Linked DNA regions of Astyanax mexicanus. The protein of the gene in region 2 purifies or fractionates together with the protein of the main gene of each other region. This does not show direct contact. Links are inferred from orthologs where the notes say so. Each region holds a gene or a part of one and is shown on either strand. Other genes may lie near its edges.

Region 1 (10,585 bases), on a different chromosome or scaffold from region 2:
CTCTCTCTCCTGTAAAGTTGCTGGTTTGGAGATACTTGTTTTTCATTAGACAGTGACGATATACAGACCAAGGCATGTTAAGGGCTTAATTATATGCTGTGAAAACTACAGGAATTGTAAGAAAAGTGTAGTACTAATTAACATGAATCAAAAAGCAGGCTAAATTAAACATATTGGGCTAATTTGTTGTACAGAGAAAATATTTTTTGTTTTATAATTAAAATCAGGTTTAATGTGAGTCTTACTGTATACCCAGCCTCATTTCTGATCCTTGTTTTTTTAATATGTTGGTTATATTTCAGTAATACAGTGCAGAGTTTATTAGCTGCTGTGTGACTGATGTATTGTGTTATATATTGAGTGAGGGGTTGTGTAGGGAACTTTAGCTGGGTTTAGATGATGGCAGTGAGCGCTGGGGATTATTCTGAGCTGTATGATAATGAACAGATCGTTTTTGGGAGTCTGGTCTGGAGGTCTGAAGGTGTGGAGTAAACGTAGTTTCACATTTGTTTCAGATATAATGAATGTTTCTCTATGCAGTGCCTCAACTCTCCCGGGAACGTTCAGCATGAATTCTTTATTTCTATAACTCTATTTGCCAGAAAGGCAGATTTACGAGTTCGCTCGTGTGATTGTGGGGCAGAAACGACACAAAGCCTGAATACAATTCCAGCATGAATGCTGAAGCTCGCCAAACCAAAACCAAACTCCCAGAGCTCCCGTCCACATCCTGACAGGGGGAGTTCACCTCAGCAGTGGAGGTGAGAGAGAGAAATGCACTTTAAAACCACTATTTGTCTGAATCAAATAAATTAGGTCTGTTTTATGTATTGTATAAAAATTGTATGTTGTCAAACATTACTCAACATTTTTGAGTTAAGTGAACATTTGTGACTACATGTACATGTCAAACAAAGATCTTTGAGTTGAATTAACTTCTGACACTCACCGTTAGTGTGTAGTAATTCCCCCCTGAGGCTACCTTAGGTAAACGTGTACAATAGATAATATATTACGATTATAACTGCCTGGATTCTATTGTATGTTGTAGGCTGTATAAGCTAACATCATGTTCTGAGCTGCTACAGTAACTCAGTGTTTGGCTGTATGCTAGTTATACTGTTCTCTATATAGCATATTTTTCTTTATTTCATTTTCTATGAGTATTTAAAAAAAGACTAAGAAAAGACTAAATACTACATCTACAAATTTTATTTACCTGACCATCACATTCAAAGTAGAATTATTATGCAAAGCAATTGATATAGCAAAAATGTAATTCTTACTTAAAAATGTAGTACATATTACTTGTAATTTATTATAATTTACTACGTAAATAAAGTATATACGTATGTTCAAGAAAATCTTAATAAAAAATATTTTTATATTATATTTAAAGATATTTCATGTTTTATCTGCTCAATTTTATCCGCTACATTTAATTTATTAATAAACAATAATTAATAAACATCCATCCCTTTATTCCAGTTACACTGTAAAAATTCATCAGTCATTCTCCTTAATGTGATTTTTAATATTAAATTGCACCGAAAGCTATAGTAAATTAATCAACTCAACTAACATTAAGACTCTTAATGAATATATTTTTTGTTGATACTAAAAATAGGAGCAGAACTTGCAATACACATTTAATAGAAGTTAAATTAAATACTGTACATAAAAACGTAAACATTTTTTATTAACTTGGTGAGATTTAATATTTAAAGTTTTAACACATATAAAAAGTGTGTAATACCTAAACACAAGATTTTTACTTGGCACAACCGGTAGTGGTTTTATTTTCAAAAAATAAAAGTTTAAGTTTGAGCCTCAAAACTCAAAAATCTAGTGCAGTATATTGAAATTGTGAGTTTACAGTGCAACAGAGAGCATTATAAGTATGTTTTCCCTTGTAATCTCTTGTTCTTGTGGTTCTGTCAGCTGTTGTTGATGAAGGTTTATGATTGCTTTGCATCTGAGAGAATTCTGCAGTTATATTGTGCATTATTTTATTAGCAGTGAGTGTACTATTATAAATATATAATATATACAGTATTAACTGTAGCTGTATTTGATCTACAGTGTGCACTGTAGAAAGTGTTCGGAAATAAATCTCGGAAAGATTTACGGTACTGTTTGTCACACCAGCACACTCTCATCTAACAAACATTCATTAGTGAGGATTTATTACGGAGCATGTGTGATCCTGAGGGCTGGCGAGCAGCATGCGGGATTAATCTCTGAATGATTGCGCTGTTCCACTGTTCCTGGACCAGAACCATAACAGAACAAAGCCATCAGAGATCATATTAACTCTGCACTGTTATTTTACATCCAATAATAACTGATCAGAACAGAACTTCATACTGGATATTAATCTTGTTAGAGTAGAACTTCATACTAGATACTAATGTTATTAGAGTAGGACTTTGTACTGGATATTAATGTTATAATCTTAGGACTTCTAAACTAATGCTTTTACAGTCCAACTTTATAGTAACTTCATACTGGATACTAATGCTATAAGAGGAAGGCTCCTAAACTAATGCTATTACAGTATAAAGTCATAATAATTTAATACTAGATATGAATGTTAGTGGAGTAGAACTTAATTCTGGAAGTGGATATTAATGTTGTTAATGTTGTTATAGGATTTTATATAGTGTGAGGTGTGTGTGAGGAGTGCTGCAGTGTGTTTTTTCAGGCGAGTGCAGATTACATTTTATTATCACATTCTGTTTCCACATGGTAACGATTATATCTGATCACTTTATGTAGCTCAGACATACTGTTTCAGTTTTCAGTTGTTGTGTATAAATATTGAATTATGCACAGTCTAAAAGCCAAAAGTGTGTGTGTGTGTGTGTGTGTCAAAACTGCACTCAGTTAACCCGAGTTCCATGTTTTGTTGTTAAAAATATTCCTTGAGAAACGTTTAGGGGTTCTATGGTTTATAACTTCATACTGGATATTAATGTTATTATAGTAAAACTTCATACTGTTTTCTTAGAAGAACTTCATACTGAATATTATTGTTATTGTAGTAGAATATCATATTGAGAAATAATGTTAATAAAGTTCAACTTCGTACTGGATATTTATGTTATTACTAATGTTTTAGGAACGTTTTAACGTACAGTATAGAGCCTCTGTCGCTCACAGAACCCGAACAGTAGGTTCTGTTGGAGTCCCGCTGAGTTTATAAGAGGATAACTGTGAGGTTTATGAGGCTCCATATGGTGTTCATGTAGTTACCACCAGCGGGTTATAACTCAGGGGTCGTAACAATGTCCAACATTATTAAACACAATGTTTAAATCAAATGGAAATGATGTATTTATTATATTACAATCCCAAACACACAAAATCCCTTTGCTGGTACATCACCATCATATCATATGGTTTACTGCACTAAGGGAAATGAGCCAATCAGCAAAGCTTCCCCTAAATGATGTCATGCTGTAATGCAGAACGACACATCTGAGTTAAATTAAAGTTTTATGCTCTGCTCCACATTCAAATCACAGCACACTCCACTAATACCATTACGATTAATAGAGACATTTTAATGAAAAATAAACAACAAATGTGCCATTCCAAAGAATAACTATGAATTGAGCAGATATCCCTTTTGTATGTTGTCTGTTAAATAATAAAAGAGACATATTATATCAGTTTTTACACACGTTAGAATACAGTAGTCTATACAAAATATGATCATGAAGTTCTTTACACAAAATTACTCTCTCACCAGCTCTATTCTTACCAGTTTCAGTCCCTTTCAGAATGAGCCGTTTAAGGGCTCTGCCACTTTTATGCAAATAAGCTTTTGCTGGCCACGCCCCATGTTTGTGCTCAGTGTTTATCACACATTAGTGTTAGCTTGCGCTGACAAGCTAGTTTATGCTTAGCTGTAACAAAACACACAATAGGTACAGATTCCTCCCTCAGACGAAGTCAACTGATCTAGTGGGCAGGGCTCTGTTGAGGGTTAATGAGTAAGAAAAGGAGCCAGGGTGGTTCTATGCAGGGTACCTTATTGTGACCTCACAATAAAGAAGAGAATCCGATTGGCTCATAACAGCAAATGATTCCTGATTCCTTTCAAACTCTTTCAGCTGATTAACTGAAAATGGATGGATGGATATTAACTGCTCTGTTGTGGTCTATCCTGTGGGGTCCTGAGCATTAAAGAACAGGGGAAAAGGGGAAAACCTTGACCATGAAAGATCATCTTAGACCATCTGAATCCAGCTACCAGCAGAAACTGGTACCCGAGCAGAACCTGATCAAGATAGACAGGGTTATAGGTGGGTAATAACACAGCAGGTTACACAAATTCTGCAGTCTGGCTGAGGTCCTGATTTCAGAAGGTCAGTTATATGAGAAAAAATGGTTCTCCTTCCAGCATCTGAAACATTCAAGCTAATGAGCAACATTCAGCTGCAGCGTTATTAAGACCACATGCTGACTGAGAGTCTCAGTACACTCTACCTACCCAACTTTCACACACAGTTCAGTACAGACCAACAACATCTTCACTGAGGAGTGGAGGCACCTACATCGGTGGGCAGAGGCCTATATAAGCCTACAGAAATGTATAGATAAATAAAGACCATATTCACATGGAATCTATTGTTGTTTTATACCAATATCAACACAAGAAAAAAAGGAATTCTATTATCATACTGTAAATATCCAGAGTCTATATGCAATTAAATTCTTGGTTTAAGTTTAACCCACACAATCGTCACTGGAAGGACTGAAAAGTATCAGTCAAATAAGTGGGATGGGTAAAGCAGTGGTTTGGGTAAAGTTCTGAGTTGGGTTTAATTGGTGGGTTAGGTAAAGTGCTGGGCTGGTTGAAGTCCTGGGTTGGGTAAAGTGCTAAGTTGGGTAAAGTGCTGAGTTGAGTAAAGTGCTGGGTTGGGTAAAGCAGTCTGCTGGGTAAAGTGCTGGGTTGGGTAAAATGCTGGGCTGGATGAAGTGCTGTGTTGGGTAAAGTGCTGGGCTGGGTCCTCCTCGGATCAACTGGGCTGTTCTGGGGGAACGGAAATGAACAGCACGAAGTTGCACCCGGACGGTTTTAGCGGCGGATCCGAGGATCGGGGCGGAGACGGAGCAGCGGCCATGGCGGAGGTGAGTGTAAATCAGTAATATTAATAAAATCAGAGTTTATTATAATAAATAAGCGACGGACTACACATAAAAAGCTTCAGAACTACCGAACAGAACCGATAGAACCCGAACCCGCCGTGGATTTAGCTGGAAAATCGCTATAGAACAGTCGTTAGCTCACAGGCTAACAGGCTTAGCATAACAGCGTTCTTTGGTTTATTACGGAAAGAAGATTAGAAATCAATTTGTAACTTTATTACATTTTACTCCATGTAAACGCTTATATTCACCATGTACGCCTTCTGTATCTGATGCTATATGTGTTATTAAAGCTGGATGTGTTTAAAGGAAGTAGTTTAGCTATTTAGCTAGCGTTAGCTGGTTTAATAATGTTGGGGTTTGTTTATCTCAGACTGTAACTAACCGCTTTAATATCTAAACATGAGCTCAAGCTTTCAGACTTTATTAATCCCTTTAATTAACTTCAATTAACCCATAAGAGTCTATACACAGTTCTGAATATTGATACAAAATCCACAATTTAATAATTTGATTGAATCAAGCAGCTCATTATATTTATTGTTATAAAGAGCTTGTTACTGTAAATATTTTATTGCTAAAGCTAAATTAATCTAGGGTGCTGAATACTTTGTATTTTATCATTTTGTTCTAGACATCATAAAATAAGATGGTTTTATCTAAAAGCACTGAACCAGCAATCCAACACTCATGATCACACTTTTACACACTGTCCTGTATTGATGATCTCAGAATGTTCGGTATGTGCCACTTAGGAACTTTAACAGGAGTTAAAGTAAAGTACAGAGTGTTGTTAGGGTTTTGTGGATTAAACTGTGTTTCTAATTTAATAATAAATAAAATAATAAAATCTAATTTATAATAATTAAGTTTTGTAAGGCCTTGATATGTTTATACTTTGTTTAATTTACTTCTACTCTGGTTTTAGCAGATTAGAATACAGGGCCCCAAAAGGTTAACTGTGGAAAATAATAATTAGATATTTAATACTCTAAGAATTAATGACCAAGGTGTAATTTTCTCAGTTTAGCATTTGTTCCTTAAGTTTATTTAATCGTCCTCTTGATTTATAATATTATCAAATAGTGTGGGTTGTGTTTATAAGATTTAGAGAAGTGTTAGTGTGCAGTGATATGAGAAAGGAACAGATTAGAGACAATTATTAGACAAATGGTATGACAAGTTTAAGCTCCCCTGGTCTTCAAAATATCTCTGACCATCTGAAATAATGGTCTAATTTAGTAAATCATCTGAGATATATAGTGATATATAAATACCACTGTGTGTATTGTATGAGGTGCTCGACAAAACTCGTTCTTTATTAATGCAGACCTTTTAAAAGTATCTCAGTATTTGGTTGTATAAAGTTTATTAAATATGAGGTCGTTACTCTCTGGCAGACGCACAGCCTGCAGGACCTGCGGCAGCAAGCAGCCATCGCCTCCAAGGTGTTTGTGCAGCGAGACTACACATCTGGCACCATCTGCAAGTTCCAGACCAAGTTCCCCAGTGAGCTTGAGACCCGGGTAAGATCATTTCATCAGAGCAGCTGATTAGAATATTTAAAGCACTATTTTAGCTTTATCTAAAGTTGAGCCGTCAACTGAGCAACATGCAGCTTAATTTAGGGCGTCAGTGTGTCTTTGCTATTGTAACGACGGGAAAAGTACACCTTGGGTGACTCTTAATTAATTATGGGTGTGACATGAAATTTGGTCATACGGTAAAATAATCCAATGAGCGTCTCACTTGGCATTCCCTGTAAAAGCCAGGTGCGCTCTGGATTGCTATTTTAATGGTGCAGCTATGATTCTCAGCAGAGGATACTGATCTGCTCGTTCACACTGTGAAGGTGCACCAGCAGCTGATTCACAGCAACAGCAATGTTATTTTATTTAGTATTCTGTTTATCTAACGTCTTACAAAGATCACTCTCATTGAAGTTTTTAGTATACATTTTAAACGTATAAAAAGTGTTAATGTTGTGTGTTTTGGTTTGTATTTTATCAGATTGAGAAGCAGCAGTTTGAGGAGACGGTGCAGACCCTGAATAACCTGTACGCCGAGGCCGAGAAGCTCGGGGGAAAGTCCTATCTGGAGGGGTGTCTGGCCTGTCTCACCGCTTACACTATTTTCCTCTGCATGGAGACCCACTACGAAAAAGTGAGTTTATGTAGTATTTTCACACTTTACAGTACCAGTCAAAAGTTTGGACACATCTTCTTATTCAGTGTTTTTTTCTTTAATGAAATAAGTTAGGGGAGACATATGGAATTACATAGTAAACAGTAAAAACAGTCCTCCACAATCCCCTGATCTAAACCTGATGAACTGAGATGGTGATTTGGGATGAACTGGAGCTTCACAGCGTGAAGGAAAAGCAGCAGCTATTGTTTAGCACCTCCAGAAACTCCTTCTTTCTTCCAGGTGACTCTCACTCATTAAAAACACTAAGGTTAAAATACCAAGAGTGTACAGATCTGTCCTTTAAGATAAATGTGCTACTTATTTAGAAGAATCTAAAGTATAATTCTAACATATTCTGGTTTGTTTAAAACGTTTGTTTTCAGAATAATTCAGCATGTTTTTCTGTATAGCTTTAATATAGTCTTCAATATTAAAATTATAATGTAAACAATCATAAAAAGAAAGAAAACACACTGAAGGAGAGAAAAGAGGTGTGTCCAAACGTTTCACTGGTACTGTATATTGTTTTCTTTAACCGTTGAACCCTGTAATAAATACTCTGGGATTATTACACTGCTGAAAACTTTATTACAGCGATTTGTTTCCCATTACCTGAACTCTGCTCCCTTTTGTTTTGTTTTTTTGTTTTTTTCCCAGGTGCTAAAAAAGATCGCCAAGTACATCCAGGAGCAGAATGAGAAGGTTTATGCCCCTCTTGGCCTCCTCCTCACCGACCCAATCGAGAGAGGCTTGCGCGTCGTATCCTTCACCCAACAGCAGAATCTGATTCACGCTTCAAATCATGTCTCAGGCTCATGTCTCAGGCTCATGTCTCAGGCTCATGTCTCAGGCTCATGTCTCAGGCTCATGTCTCAGGCTCATGTCTCAGGCTCATGTCTCAGGCTCATGTCTCAGGCTCATGTCTCAGGCTTTAGGCTCACCTCTCACTCTCATTACAGCTCTAATCTCACACAGTCTGATGTGCTGAAAATAAAGTTATAGGAAATGGTTTGCAGTGTTGTGCAGAAAAGTGATTGTGTTGATTTAATTGATTTATATTAATACATTTAATTGAGAGCTTTGTTTGTTGTAAAATATCTAATAGTTGTTTTCAGCTTTTATCTACATGTTTTATAATTTTTCAAACTTTTCACATTAGTGTACTAAAATGAACATTATTAGGATTATTCTGAGCACTTAAATGTATAATAATGTAATAACAGTTTAATATAGACATAAGTTGTTTTATAAACAGTTTACCTTAACCCCGCCCTCCTAAGGTGGAGATAACCATATTTGAGGACAGAAGCATTGGATCAAGATAAAACGTACCAAAGGTAAACAAACACAAACGCACACACATTTACCTGATATTGCTTCTCTTGACAGGGTGTGTCTCTCTATACTATGAGTGCAGGATTGTCCTGCAGCAGATTCACCTCGGATTCAATATGTGCTCAAAATGTCCATACGCAACATATTTTAGATTTACTTTACAGTTGGACTCTGTATAAAGTTCTCTGCATGTAAATATAAAATAGTGCTGGATGATATGGCAAAAATCTGACACTATATATTTCTTAATTTCAGTGGATACAATACAGTTCTGATATTGATATGAACATTTACAATTAAAGCCACCACTCTTGTTGTACATTATCTTGCACTGATGGAGCTACTGGGTGATATGGTAAAAATATTATCACATTAATTAAAGACATTTATATACTGGTTATCATAATTTATAAATACATTTGAATTTCTCAGTTTTCTTGTGCTGCCATATTTTTTATTGATTCTCAGTGATAGTCCTTTGTTTGGAGTGTGCCTCTTGAAACCTTTATTGGAAGGACCATGTAACCCTAAAACATCCCCTAACTTACCCCTCCAGCTTTCACAGCACTGTGGAGGGCTTTCTGGTAATTACAATGTGTTTTTAATAATTACCTTGTATTTAATTGTAATTGTTTATTTTGTTTATTTTATTCTGCAGGAGAATGTATTGGACACATTAATCACTGGCCTGCTGGATTGAAAACCGGGTTCCTTCTTGCCCTCTTCATCCTGCCTGTCTGCGTCTGAATGTAGAGGCGTCCTCTTTCGTTCTACACTTCTATTCCTCCTCTTTCTCTGTTCTTTCTGCTTCTTTCCCCTCACAGAAGAACGATATGGTGGTCTGCAGATCCTCGTCTGACGCAGAGCTCCTGATCACTCAGCTGTCAGGATTTCTATGTAAACTGTTGTCTTACTGAATGGAGATTCATTTTAAAGCTAGAATATTATTGTTAATATTATTATTATGTGCCATGTGTTTTATATTGCGCCTTCTGAACTCTGGTTCAGTTTGTTCTGTTGAATCCTTGTATCTCCTCTGTTTTTTCTGTATATATGATGTACCTGTGGGTAAAGTGCACAGTGTTGACTCGCCGCTCGGTCGCAGTGTTCGGTGTCCACATAGTGAAAATTGTCTCGGAGGATCGGAGTCTGTGCCGGCTTTTAAACTGGCGAACTGACGTTCTGATGATGACGATCACTGATAATAGTGTGTAAAATAAATTATATGATGCTGATTTTGATATAATGTGCATTTTAATTCCATAATCGCATCATTAATGCCTCATTCCACAACGACTTTTCTCAGATTGTGTGACCATTTTCAGTATGTGAGATTATTATTACCAAGGCTTAGTTATAATGAAGAATAAGAAACACTACAGGGTGGACGCAGGGCTGTGAGGGTGGTTAACCTGGTCCTGGACTCTGATTGGACCCCTGAACCCCTGTTCTATTTTAAATGCAGTAATTACTGAGTCTTTATTCTTGTTTAGCTGATCACACTGTCCTCTGTGCTCTGTCTCTCTTTCTGCACCCGTGCTGAACATTAAAATAAATAAATAAATAATAATCATACATTTCAGGTGACGGTTCCATCCAGTTATTAAACCTGAACTCTGCCGTTTGTAACTTTTGTTGTATCATATTGAATTATTACTGTCTTTTCTTTAAACGCCTTCAATCATCTTATTTAATAAACATGTATCGTAATAAATTAAACTTTCCTTCACTTTGTTGTGTTGATTTGAAGTGTTTCAAGTTTCAATTTTACCTGTTATTTGCAAAACACATACAGTGGGTTAAATAAGTATATGATAAGGATTATATAATGTTGATTTTGCAAGATTTCCCACCTACAAAGAATGAATAGGTCTGTAATTTGAGTAATCATATTTGAAAGGTACCT
Region 2 (11,482 bases):
ATAAGGCTCGAGAAGTCTGAGCTGCTCTATTAATGGTGTGAGAAACAAAGGCAAGAAGTTACTGCATTCTGTTCATGCATATTGACACAAATCGTATGAGTACAAACCTTATGCTACATACTGCATTCATGTGAATAACAACAAACCCGATAACATCTAAAACTAGACCAGTGTGCACAAACAAAGAAAATCTAGGATTAAAACTGAGCATTAGTTTTAATGTGTTAAAAAACCTGGCTATCTGAACTGAATTACTTTTGAAGTAAAGTTTTAGTGAAAACAATTCTCATTTCATAATATATAGGGAGTAATAGTGGGCCAGTACTTAGAGTGCTGGGTGAGCAATGATCACATGGTTGTGGGTTCGGGATTCTCTGGAGGCCCTGAAGCATGGAAGGTGGTGGTTGGTGGTTCAAAGCAATGAACCAGCAGGTACTACCTTTAAACAAGGGCCTTTACTCTCTGCCTCTTGCGAAGCTGGCTTATTCTACACAAGGTCATAGGTTTGATACCCTGGGTCAGATGAAGTGAAGAAACAGAGCTTTCTTCACCCATAATGTCCTATTTTTTTTAATGCAGAAATTATTGGATCAGATATAGGCAGGAAGTAAAATTTGGATTTTGATTTAAGTCCTGTAACAAATCTATCCTGAAAAATAACATACTCCTACTATGTGATGTTTGCTAACTCTTTTATATACTTGTATATACTGTTGTTTATTGGTATTAGAAGATGAAGCTTCTATAAATAATTCTACTCCTGAATCATTAGAATAAGGTGCATCTTAAGCAAGTAAAAAGATAACACAGGTTCTGTAATGTCAAACATCACACAAGAAAACCTATTCTACCAAACGTTTCGGCAGCTGCTTTGTATGTTACTAAACATGTAGGTTTCTAAACATAAAAGTTAATCTAAGTAGTCTTCTAAGTAGATGTCTATCTATGCCTATATCTATACATGGATCTAACAGAGTGGTAAACAAGGCAGTAATGAAGAGAAGAGACAAGGCCAGAACAGCCTCTTTTTTTGTGGAGTTTAGCACTTAGGATCAAATGTGTGTGTGTGTGTACACCTTTACACGGACCAGATGATTGCACCATGTTGGTGAAGTGTTCTTCAGGCTGTCGTACGAGATTTAAGATTTACAGTCCTTCAGTTTAGTGGTCAAACATTTGCCTAGGCGAAGGCAATTGGGCTTTTCATAACAATTTGCTGCCCAGGCAACACTATACACAGTCCCAGTGGTCCAGCGAGCTGTCCGTGTGGGTGGTCCACCATTAACTAGGCCACCCGGTAGGCAGTCATGCGAGTGTAGTTCTTGCGATGGCTCCTGGCGGCCCAAATAAAGAGAGCAGCAGCCATCATCTGGAGCGGGGAGGAGACCAGGGCTAGGTAGAGGGACCAGCCCAAAGAGTAGTTCATCCAATCAGCTGACTCGGATGCTCTGTGCAGCAGGTCTATCCCAGCCAGGAAACAGCACACTGTGGCCAGAGAGCAAATACCTGAAGAGAGGAGAGTAGAGGACTTGCTTAGGGTCAATCAACAACAACAAACGATGGATGAACTGGAATAAACCAAGTTAACCCACTCAGTTATTCAGGATTTTATAAAGATCTGTCACATCTGTCACTAAGTACATTTAAAATTGAAACTGGCAAAAAGCTTATTTTGAATGAAGTTTTCCACAGCAACAAGTTAATAAGGCTCTATTGTACATTTCTGTGCCAGTGTTTACTAGGGCTGCAATGATTACGATTGTAAAAATGTGTCAACTTGTCGTTAATTTGTAACTTAGTACAAAAAGTGCCTTGGAAAAAAAACACAATGGGGAAGAGGTAAGGGTTGCTCACTTCCTCAGTTCACAATCAGCTTGAAGACAGACAAAACAGATTACATATTTTCTCACTAAATATCAGATCTCATCTGGGCATTTAAAGTGCATATATATCCCACATTCAGCTGTTTCTATGTCGTTTTGAAGATGGACATCATGGCAGAAATAATAGCTGACTAACCTTAAAAAAACTGTGATACAATATCATAAGATACAATATATCTAATGCAAGCTAACCAGAGTTTTGCTCCAGTTCTGTATGTACTACTGAAGTGTGTGTGTGTATGTGTGCCATCTAGGTCATCTTACCAGCCAGCAGATGGAGAAAACCAACAAACAGGGTTGGTGTGATGCTGCGGCAGAGGCAAGCACACACTCCGATCAGTGCTCCCAAAAACACCAGCCCGAGAGACACCAGTGGGAACAGGAATCGGCACCTCCACAGATCTGAGAACAGCAGAGAAGGGAAAATTAATATTTCTTATTATTAATAACACAATAATACAGTAATATTCAGCAAACACAATGTTGTTACAGTGGACACTAAAATACTGTTATAATGAGTTTGTAAACTTGGAGACTTATCCCCTTGCTTTGGTTTGTTTTGTCTTTACAAAACAAGCTCAAAAAACTGTCAAGGCATACTGTGTGAACATTTAGGTTGCTCCTCTTTTTACATGATGAAAGAGCAGATATAGCATTTGTTTATAGCTGTTGTAATTATCAGGACAATATAGCAGGTTAAACTCAAAAGCTGAGACAGATCAAAATCAGATCACGTTCATTTAGAACCCGAATGACACCACCTTCTCTCAAATGTCTTGGTGTGGTTGGTTTGGTCCACAAGTGAAATTACTAAACTCACACAGTGTCGGTGTCTTTTCTATTATAACGGCGGGAAAAGTACACCTTGCTTGGCTTGAAACAAGCCAAAGACATTTACTACTAAGTCTCTTAATTAATCATGGGTATGTTTTTGGTGCGTAACATAAGTAAACCAATCAAAGTTTCACTTGCTATGCCATTTAAGAGCCAGGTGCTCTCTGATTCTGGCTCTCAGATTGTTATTTTAAAGGTGCACAGCATACCTGCGTTGCCAAGATAGAATTTAATGTCTGGCAATTGTCAGGGTTCAAATCAGTCAGTTGTGCACATGTGTTCTCTGCTGCCAAGACAATAATACGCCAGAAACTTACCCGAAAACACCTCACTTCCAGGTGAAAGGTGCAAAAACACTATTAGTCATTTTCCTTAATACTTGTTGTGTGTCTTCCAAGAACAGAAAGACAGATAATAATGTAACAACACTCTTGAGGCCTACACTTACAGGTCCGAAGTAGATCTTCTTCACTACTAGAATTTCCAGGGAGTTTGTACTTGGTTTCAAACTGCTGGGGCAAAGTGAAGGCCTGACAGTCTGTCACCATCTTCGGTTCTGATGAAAGAAAGAAAGGAAGCACCAAAAAAATAGAATTAGGCAGTAGTTTTGCAATAAGACATTACATTGTGGTTCTTAACAGAACCCTATTTGGTGCTTTTCAGAACCAAATATGACAAGAACCCTTTAAATAGGCAAAGAACCATTGCTTACATAACTTCCAAATAATATTTTAAAGACCATCATCTTACCAGGATGTCTGTACCACTGTGTTTCCTCAGGCACCAGAATGCAGCGCCACCACAGCCCTATGGTGCCGTTGAGGCGGAACAGAGCTTCACTGTAGGTCTTTTCGCTCACGTCTTCCTCTATAAAAGCGCCCTTTAGCGCGTGCAGGTCTGAGCCGTTTTTCACATCGTTGCTGGCCGGCATGCTTCGGTACTGGTACCAGTGCCGAGTGCCCACTGCCACGGACAGATACACGCTAGCCAGCAGGCTCAGGACTGAGCCGATCACCAGCGCTGTGGCATAACGATTATCAACCATTTTTACATAAAAAAACGTATCTAATAAGTCTATAAGTCCTCTGTACTGTAATGGAACACAGTCAGTCACTGTCAAGAACAGGTTTTTGAAGAATCAAGGTGGGGAATCTTCATCATTACAACCCAGTTTGTCCATGAAGGCTACTATCATTACATCATATTCAAGATATGTGGATGAAACTGGTACTTCACAGCCTGGTTGAGGTTAATGCAGGTCTTATTTTTTCACAGGGAAGCACGCCTTAGCTGAAATACAGAAACAAGCAAAGTACAGTTAGTATGAGCCTGCAGTATGATGTTTCATTTGCAATGCAAACTAACAGTACAAAGCACTACATAGCTTAAAGCAGGGATTAACCACAAGCTTTAGCTCCAAACACTAATCAATCCCACCCGATTCATCTAATTACTGCCAAGAGGAAAAGAGCTTAATCGGATGAATGGGGTGTGTTAGATTTGGGATTTGGGGACTATATAAACTATAAACTATATAAACTATATTGTCATTTAGAGCATTTATTTGCAGACAATGAGAAATGGCTGAAATAACAAAAAGATGCAGAGCTTTCAGACCTCAAATAATGCAAAGAAAATATGTTTATATTCATACAGTTTTAAGAGTTCAGAAATCAATATTTGGTGAAATAACTCTGGTTTTTAATCACAGTTTTCATGCACATTGGCATGTTCTCCTCCACCAGCCTTGCACACTGCTTTTGGATAACTTAGTGCCACTCCTGGTGCAAAAAAATCCAAGCATTTCTTTTCAATTTGGTAAAATCAAAGAAACTCATAATTTTAAGTGTGTTTTGTTTTGTTTCAGAGCTGTATATATACATAGAGCAGTTTTAAGCTTTTCCTTTAAATGTAGTCATTAAACCACCACATAAAATATGTATATTAAGGTTACTGAACAGTCAGCAGTACTGAATAACTAAATAACCGTTCTTACAGCTGTATAATTGTGTAATAACAGTGTAATAAAAGTGTAATAACAGTGAACCCAGACTGTTCCCCTGCGGCTAGGCTAGGCTAACCCCTGCCTCTGCCCTGCACTTTCACTATATTTAGCTAAACTCTGGCTTTATTTTGAGCTAAAACAGCAGTATTACAGTATTATACAGATTATTAATCGCTTAAATGTCGAGGGAAAAGGCTTACTGAGTTAAATAAAGCGCAGAGAGTGGTTTATCGGGGGTAAATCAGATGTTAGAGCAGATGTTAGCCAGCGCCGCTAACCCAAACACCAGCACACACACTGCAGCTAGCGCTGGCTCAAATACCGGGTTTAGACCCAAAATTCACTTAATTCCGTGCCCGTTCTGGGGTTTACCCGCCATTGTTCTGTTTAAACAGGTTGTCTACATATTATCTAAGCGGGTTTAGTTCATTATTACAGTGTAAGTTTAATTATTACAGGTTAAATGTAGGTAATGTAGCTGTACTCACCGTTTCAGTCCAGTGTCTGTAGCTGGCTGTTCCGGTTGGGGTGGACCCGCCTTTATTACGTCATCAGCCCACAGCAATCAGACCTGATCTTAATATTAAATATTTCTTTCTCTTTACAATCAAACAAAGCCTCTATGCAAGAGAATTACACACACATAACTTTTATCGTAGTTATTTTTAAACTTTTTAAACTTTTTTTTAAGAAAAGTATGTTTTAATTAATATAATTCACTACAATGTAATAAACTGAAACAATTCACATACAATACCAAGACAAAAGTGTGGACACACCTTCTCCTTCAATGTCTTTATTGTTTTCTTTTTCCCTACATTGTAAATTAATACTAAAGTAATCCAGAACTATAAAGGAACACAAACTGAACCATGTAGTAACTTAAAATAAGCGTTTTTCTTAAATTTTACTTTCATTTTTTTTTTTTTATAAAATCTTCAATTGAGTTGAGTAGTTGTCATCATAATATGGATTAAAACTGATGCTCTCAAACACATTAAGAGGCAAAAAAAAAATAAAGTAATGAACTCTTGACGAGTTCAGCACAGCTGTTAACTGAAAGCCTGAATTCCAGGTAGGGCTGGGAGGTTAATGGAACTAATTTGACTAAAGGAATTACTGTTTTAATGATATTTTTAAATGGGATAATCAAGATTATAGCTCTTTACATACAGAAGCTGCAGAGTGAATCTAAGTAGATAGGCTTATGCTTCTGTGAATTTTATGATTATTTTACACTTTTCCTTAAGTGAAATACAAGAAATGAAATGAAAAAGTATCTATACAAATTAGTCTATATAAATTACTTTATTTTTGTTGCTACAAAAAAATTGGAAAATTCGAATTAAGATGTAATTTAAAGTATGAGAAACCAATTCCAATAGGCACTGTAAGATGTTTATTTAAAATAAATAGTTTATTCTAAAATGGATTTAGTTTTAGGACCAAACATGACTTAATCTTAAAACGTAAATATAGAACCCTGTATTTCACACAGCAGGACTTATAACTGAAGTAATATTTGTCCCTTTTTTTGGTTATTCTGGGCTGAGAAATATCCCACTAGTTACAGTACTGTAGATTATTATTATTATTATTATTATTATTATTATTATTATTATCAAACTTTGTTACTTAGACGCTGTAGTAAAAGGAAACTTCAGGCCTGAAATGAATTCTTTAATTTGTTGCTATAAAATAAAACACAGTTTTAATCAGATGCAATAGAACATAAAAGGCAGATTTGAACATCTGGCATATAAAACAGCACATTATTGCACATGTTTCTCAGCAGAGGAGTGCAAAAAAATCTCAATTCCAGTTCATCCCAAAGTCAAGCTTTTATAAAAACACACCTTGTTTAACAAAAGACTCCACCGGTTTCTGTAGCCATTACAGCAGTGTTTAAATAAAACACTGACATGCCACATGTCATGGGACAATAGTACTGATAGCATTGCATACTGATGATAAAATTTGACCTCAGTGGACAGCTTGGGGATGCACAAAACTGTATAAGTGTATAAGTGTTGAGGTTGTATCCTGTGAGTGAGGCTGAACACTGCAAATAGCAATGTGGAGAAAGACTGTGACTAGTGGCATCTGTGTAGAATTGTGCCATGACTTTTGGCATGTCAGTGTAGAACAATCTACCGAAGGATACAAAGGCTTTACCAGGTATAGAGAGCCTCTCTGAATTCCGCTTTGATTTATTTAAAGGCTCTGTGAACATAAGCAGTGAGTCATTCATCCTGTAAAAAAATCAGAGATAAGCAGGAGTTCCCTTTGTGTAAACTTTCATCATTTCATCATTCGTTACCCAGATAAAAACACATAATCTCAGTGAGGTAGCTTAACACGTGATTTCAGTGTAAATGAGATGGACATTAAAAAATGTTACATTGTGATAAAATTCTTCATTAAAGGCACCGTTTTGCATTCCTGTTCAAATATACTGTATTCCAGTATATGTATATATATATTAATCATATGGAGCTCAAAAGCTGACATTAGCATCTGAATCTACATTTTGTTTACTTTAATTAAATTTAATAGACTTAAATATTTAATGGCATAATTCAAATTTTTTTTTTTTTTCAAACGTGTGAGAAACTTGTGAAAAAAGAAGATATTTCCAAAAATCAGTTTCATAAATGTTTAGATTCAAACTTTTCTACTCTTTTTTTTCACCATTGGCCTAAATGCATATTTCTTGTCTTGAATCAAATGTTTCAGTTTATGGATATTAGTTTTTTTAAATCTATAAACTGTAAATTATTTCAGCATGTATTTTTTTAACAGCAGATTTTAATACAAAAAAAGGTTGTAAAAATTCTAATTCATAATTTTCTTTCCATAAAACATCATTAAAATACAGATTAAAATACAGATTAAAATACTTGTGTCAGCTTTTAAGCTCTATATTATCATGCAGTGATGTCCGAACCCAGCGTCTGATCCTGAATCAGACTTTCAGAGCAGTAAACTGTGCAGACAGCAGAATCTCACGCTCCTAAATCACACGGCTCAGCTGGCGGAGTGGATTATTAGAATTGTACAGTCATTTCTCATTAAGAATGATTGAGAGTGTTATAAAAGCCCCTGTAGGTTCAGTGGATCTCTGATGAAGGGCGTGGTGAATCTGGTGGTGGCGTTGATGTTGGGAGTGTTGGTGAACTCCACCGCGCAGGGTCCTGAGGAGCAGGGCGACGCCTCCAGCTCCAGGACGGTGATGTTGTTGGGAGCGCTGGTGCTGAGCAGATACCCCGGGACGAACAGGGTGATCTGGGGGCCGCGGGAGGGCCAGTACCGGCCCAGGTTAAACCCGTTAATCCACACCTGACCCTGTAATAGTGCAGCAATAAACAAACAGTTAAAATTACATCACAATGTTTACATATACACTATGGGTAAAAAGCTGCTTTTTTATTTTATTTTACTTCTTATTAGTGACTGAGACTTAGTCCAGTTTTAAGCTGAGCTAAAGCTAAGCGTTTCCATGTGGGTCAGCCAGACGCCTTCCTGTAGCAGTTTTCTCCAGTTTTAAGAGTTTTTTTTAGACTCTCTGGCTACATCTTTAATTTCTCTAAAGAAAAGACTTCTCTGTGTTTGTGTCTTTTTCTAGAAAAAAAAGATTAAAGATTAAATATCTTGCCTTTCTCCAGTCTGGGAACTGGATGTAGGTGTCCTGGGGGAGATCAGGGATGTCGTCGGGAATGCTGAAGGATCCGGCGTAGAAGGCTGGAGGTGAGAGTTTAGTGGGTGGAGTTTTGGGGGTGGTGGTTTTAGGGGGGCGGAGAGAGACAGTATCCAATAGGAGACCACCCTTCACTGCCTCGTCTATACTCAGACTGTACACCGTCCAGTTGGCCAGTACACTCGCTCCCAGAGTCAGGTTATACACCAGCCCCTGTACACAGAGAGAGAGAGAGAGAGAGACACGTTAACGTCATTACAAATATTTATTAAAAAAGGTGTCCAATAACAATCTTTTTTACATATATCTCAACAATGTGAATATCTTATCTATCTTAAATGTACTATTACACTTTAATTTACATTTCTCAACGATTTTGACATATTTATATATCTTTAGTTGCATTTTCATAATGTAAATGGCTCAAAATCAATATAATATGCCTTTTGTGTTAAATAATATTAGTTTAAAGTTCATAAAATACTGTTTTTTTAATATTGTTTTTTCAATATTTACTTTGAATTATTTATTACATAATTACACATATAGAGAAATAATGTTAACCTTTACTTTAAATAACATTTTTTTTTCATTTTATATAGTTTTCTTTAATGCGTGTGTGTGTGTGTGAGTTCTCTCATGTCCACAGTGCTCCACAGTGGTTTAATTTCTTTAGTACTTCAGTAAATCATTAGTTTAATTATTCCCTTATTATTATATTTGTACAGAAATATCGAGCTTTAATTTAAATATGTCAGAGAATTCTATGTCCTCATCTGGTCATCTTGGTATTATTGTTTTATTGTTACAATTGTTTTATTTATTCAGTGATTTAAATGTGTAAGCAATATAGTGGTTTATCAATACTGTATTTATGTGTCACAACAAAAAATATTTGTCATTTTTCTATACTAAATTATGTTTAGTAAAGGGTATTTTAGTGTAAATAAGTGAACTGACAGCCGGCATCCTCGTAGCAGTACTCCTCCAGCCCACTAGGGGGCGATAGTAAGGCTTTTCTCCCAGCACTGAAGCTTAAACTCACCTTAAAGTCGTTGATGTCTTTCCCGAAGTTGACCCTTCCCAAGTTCTCCACCAGTATGTCCAGTCTGCTGCCAGCTTTACCAGTTATATTAATGGTGATGGCCTTGTCCCTCTCCAGGATCCCAGCGACGACCTGAGCGAGAGGACACAATCTGATATAACCCCAATAATCAGCAGTAACATCAGCACAGTACACATCTCTAATCCAGCGCTGTTCCATCTATATCTCTTCATTTATTTAAAGGGGATTAAAGAGCAATTCTGCTCTACAGAACCTCCTTCCTCCTTATATAACCCTTATGTAACCCTTTACAGCCGTTCATAAACACATCATACCTCTCTCAGCAGGTCACAGCAGGTCTCAGTGCTGTTATTACATCAGCGCTAATAAATAAACGAGAAGAGTAACGGTGAAAGAGATGATTCAGTAATAAAGCAGCGTACCCCGTCCACAGAGACATAGGCCCGGTCACGCACTCCGTTCAGGGGGGAGGACAGAGGGGTGGGGTTTATACAGTCCACTGGAAGGACGGTCTGATACTGCATGAAGCCAAAAGCCTGAAAAAAAAAAGGTTCAGAACATAACTGATACTGTTTTTATATTTATGACTTATATATATATTAATATATATAAAGATCCATCAACCAATCATTCAACCATTATTTTTATTTTAATAGGATTGAGTCTTATTTTTATAAAGTCAATCATTTACAACAAACAGGACTGAAAGGAATAAATATAGAAAATATATTATTGATATGATATAATAAACACATAACAAGGTTATAGAAGATTAATAGGGTACAAAATGATCAAAATATGATTTAATTAGTAAAAGAAACAATAAAATAAACAGAAAATCCAAAGGGAAATAAATCAAATCGTTAAAAATAATAATAATTAAATTACCCATAAACAAGTCAAAGTAAAGCTTTAAACAGCCAAACAAAATAATAAAATAAAAATAAAATAAAATCAAATAAGAAAATTTAAATAAGACTAAATGAACTAAAATAGCTGAAATAATGATAATAAGAGTAATAAAATAATTGAATAATATAAAAAAACTAAAGTAAATAATGTATAATGTCTTTTAATAGTTATAACTTTTATGTTTTTTTTTGTGCTTTTTAGTGCTATATACAAGTAAATGGTCATAAAAGGAAAACACTTAAGATTAATAAAAAAAAGAAAAAAAGTTGAAAGTAATTGAAACAATAAAATACACTTAAATAAAGAATAATAAGCCAACATAAAATATGCAAAAATGCAAAAAATAAAATAATAAAAATAATCAGGTCTTATCTAAAGTATGATTATAAGCAACTAATTTAAATCAACTAAAACACCTGAAACAATACTACTAAGAATAAAAAAATAATAATAAAAAATACTTAATCATAAAAAAGGTTAAAAGGTTCTATTATACCATGAACATTTACCTGTTTATTTGAAACTGTTTAACCAAGTACAGAACTGTTCATACATGAAGGTGTTTCTTTGACTTGACTCTGTTCTATATCCACCCCATCTACTCCATATTTAAAGGTGGCCCACATACAATTCACACTGAAGTGTGTGTAAATGTGAATGTGTTTTACCTGCTTCATGTCTGTGAAGGTGAGTGGATAAGTGCTTTTAACTGGTCCAGAAAAAGACAGGATATCCAGAGACTCCGCCACTGTCCTCAACTGTAAACACACACACATAAATTATATAGGGATTTTAGTTTTAAAATCCCCTTTAAACAGAAGTTAACACCATGGTATGGAGTAAATGTGAATATTTACCTTTTTCATGGGGACTTGTCCGTATGCATATTTAGGTGTAGATGGTGGCACCATTCCATCTGGTATTTTCCTGTACTGTTTAAAGCACAGATCACAGCACACATTGTCATTTACTGATATACACACACTTTATTGGCTTGTACAGTAGGCATCAGGCATGATTGTGCATCACTTTAGCCTCCTCTCTTCTTACCCTGATGCTCCATCACTCTGTAACAGAGTAAATCT

Evidence for each region. The genes of interacting proteins can lie anywhere in the genome.
Region 1: the proteins of cldnd1b (region 2) and golga7 purify together in Homo sapiens (affinity purification with mass spectrometry; 3 studies listed by BioGRID and IntAct, counting the BioPlex papers as one, with this or other methods). This does not show direct contact. The link is inferred for Astyanax mexicanus from reciprocal best matches to the Homo sapiens genes CLDND1 and GOLGA7.

What each region holds. Positions count from the first base shown.
Region 1 is NC_064427.1:21,745,711-21,756,295, forward strand, and holds golga7 (golgin subfamily A member 7), read left to right. Parts: upstream 1-5,031; 5' UTR 5,032-5,055; coding exon 5,056-5,139; intron 5,140-6,557; coding exon 6,558-6,683; intron 6,684-7,167; coding exon 7,168-7,320; intron 7,321-8,001; coding exon 8,002-8,103; intron 8,104-8,624; coding exon 8,625-8,669; 3' UTR 8,670-8,681; intron 8,682-9,337; 3' UTR 9,338-10,408; downstream 10,409-10,585. UniProt on the Homo sapiens protein: May be involved in protein transport from Golgi to cell surface. The ZDHHC9-GOLGA7 complex is a palmitoyltransferase specific for HRAS and NRAS.
Region 2 is NC_064432.1:22,638,757-22,650,238, forward strand, and holds the start of cldnd1b (claudin domain-containing protein 1b), read right to left. Parts: upstream 5,291-11,482; 5' UTR 5,211-5,290; intron 4,008-5,210; 5' UTR 3,763-4,007; coding exon 3,468-3,762; intron 3,274-3,467; coding exon 3,166-3,273; intron 2,286-3,165; coding exon 2,148-2,285; intron 1,507-2,147; coding exon 1,286-1,506; 3' UTR 1-1,285. Other genes in the region: glb1 (beta-galactosidase), read right to left, coding at 7,813-8,067, 8,378-8,632, 9,465-9,596, 9,908-10,021, 11,066-11,155, 11,255-11,329. UniProt on the Homo sapiens protein: Plays a role in negatively regulating the permeability of cells to small molecules.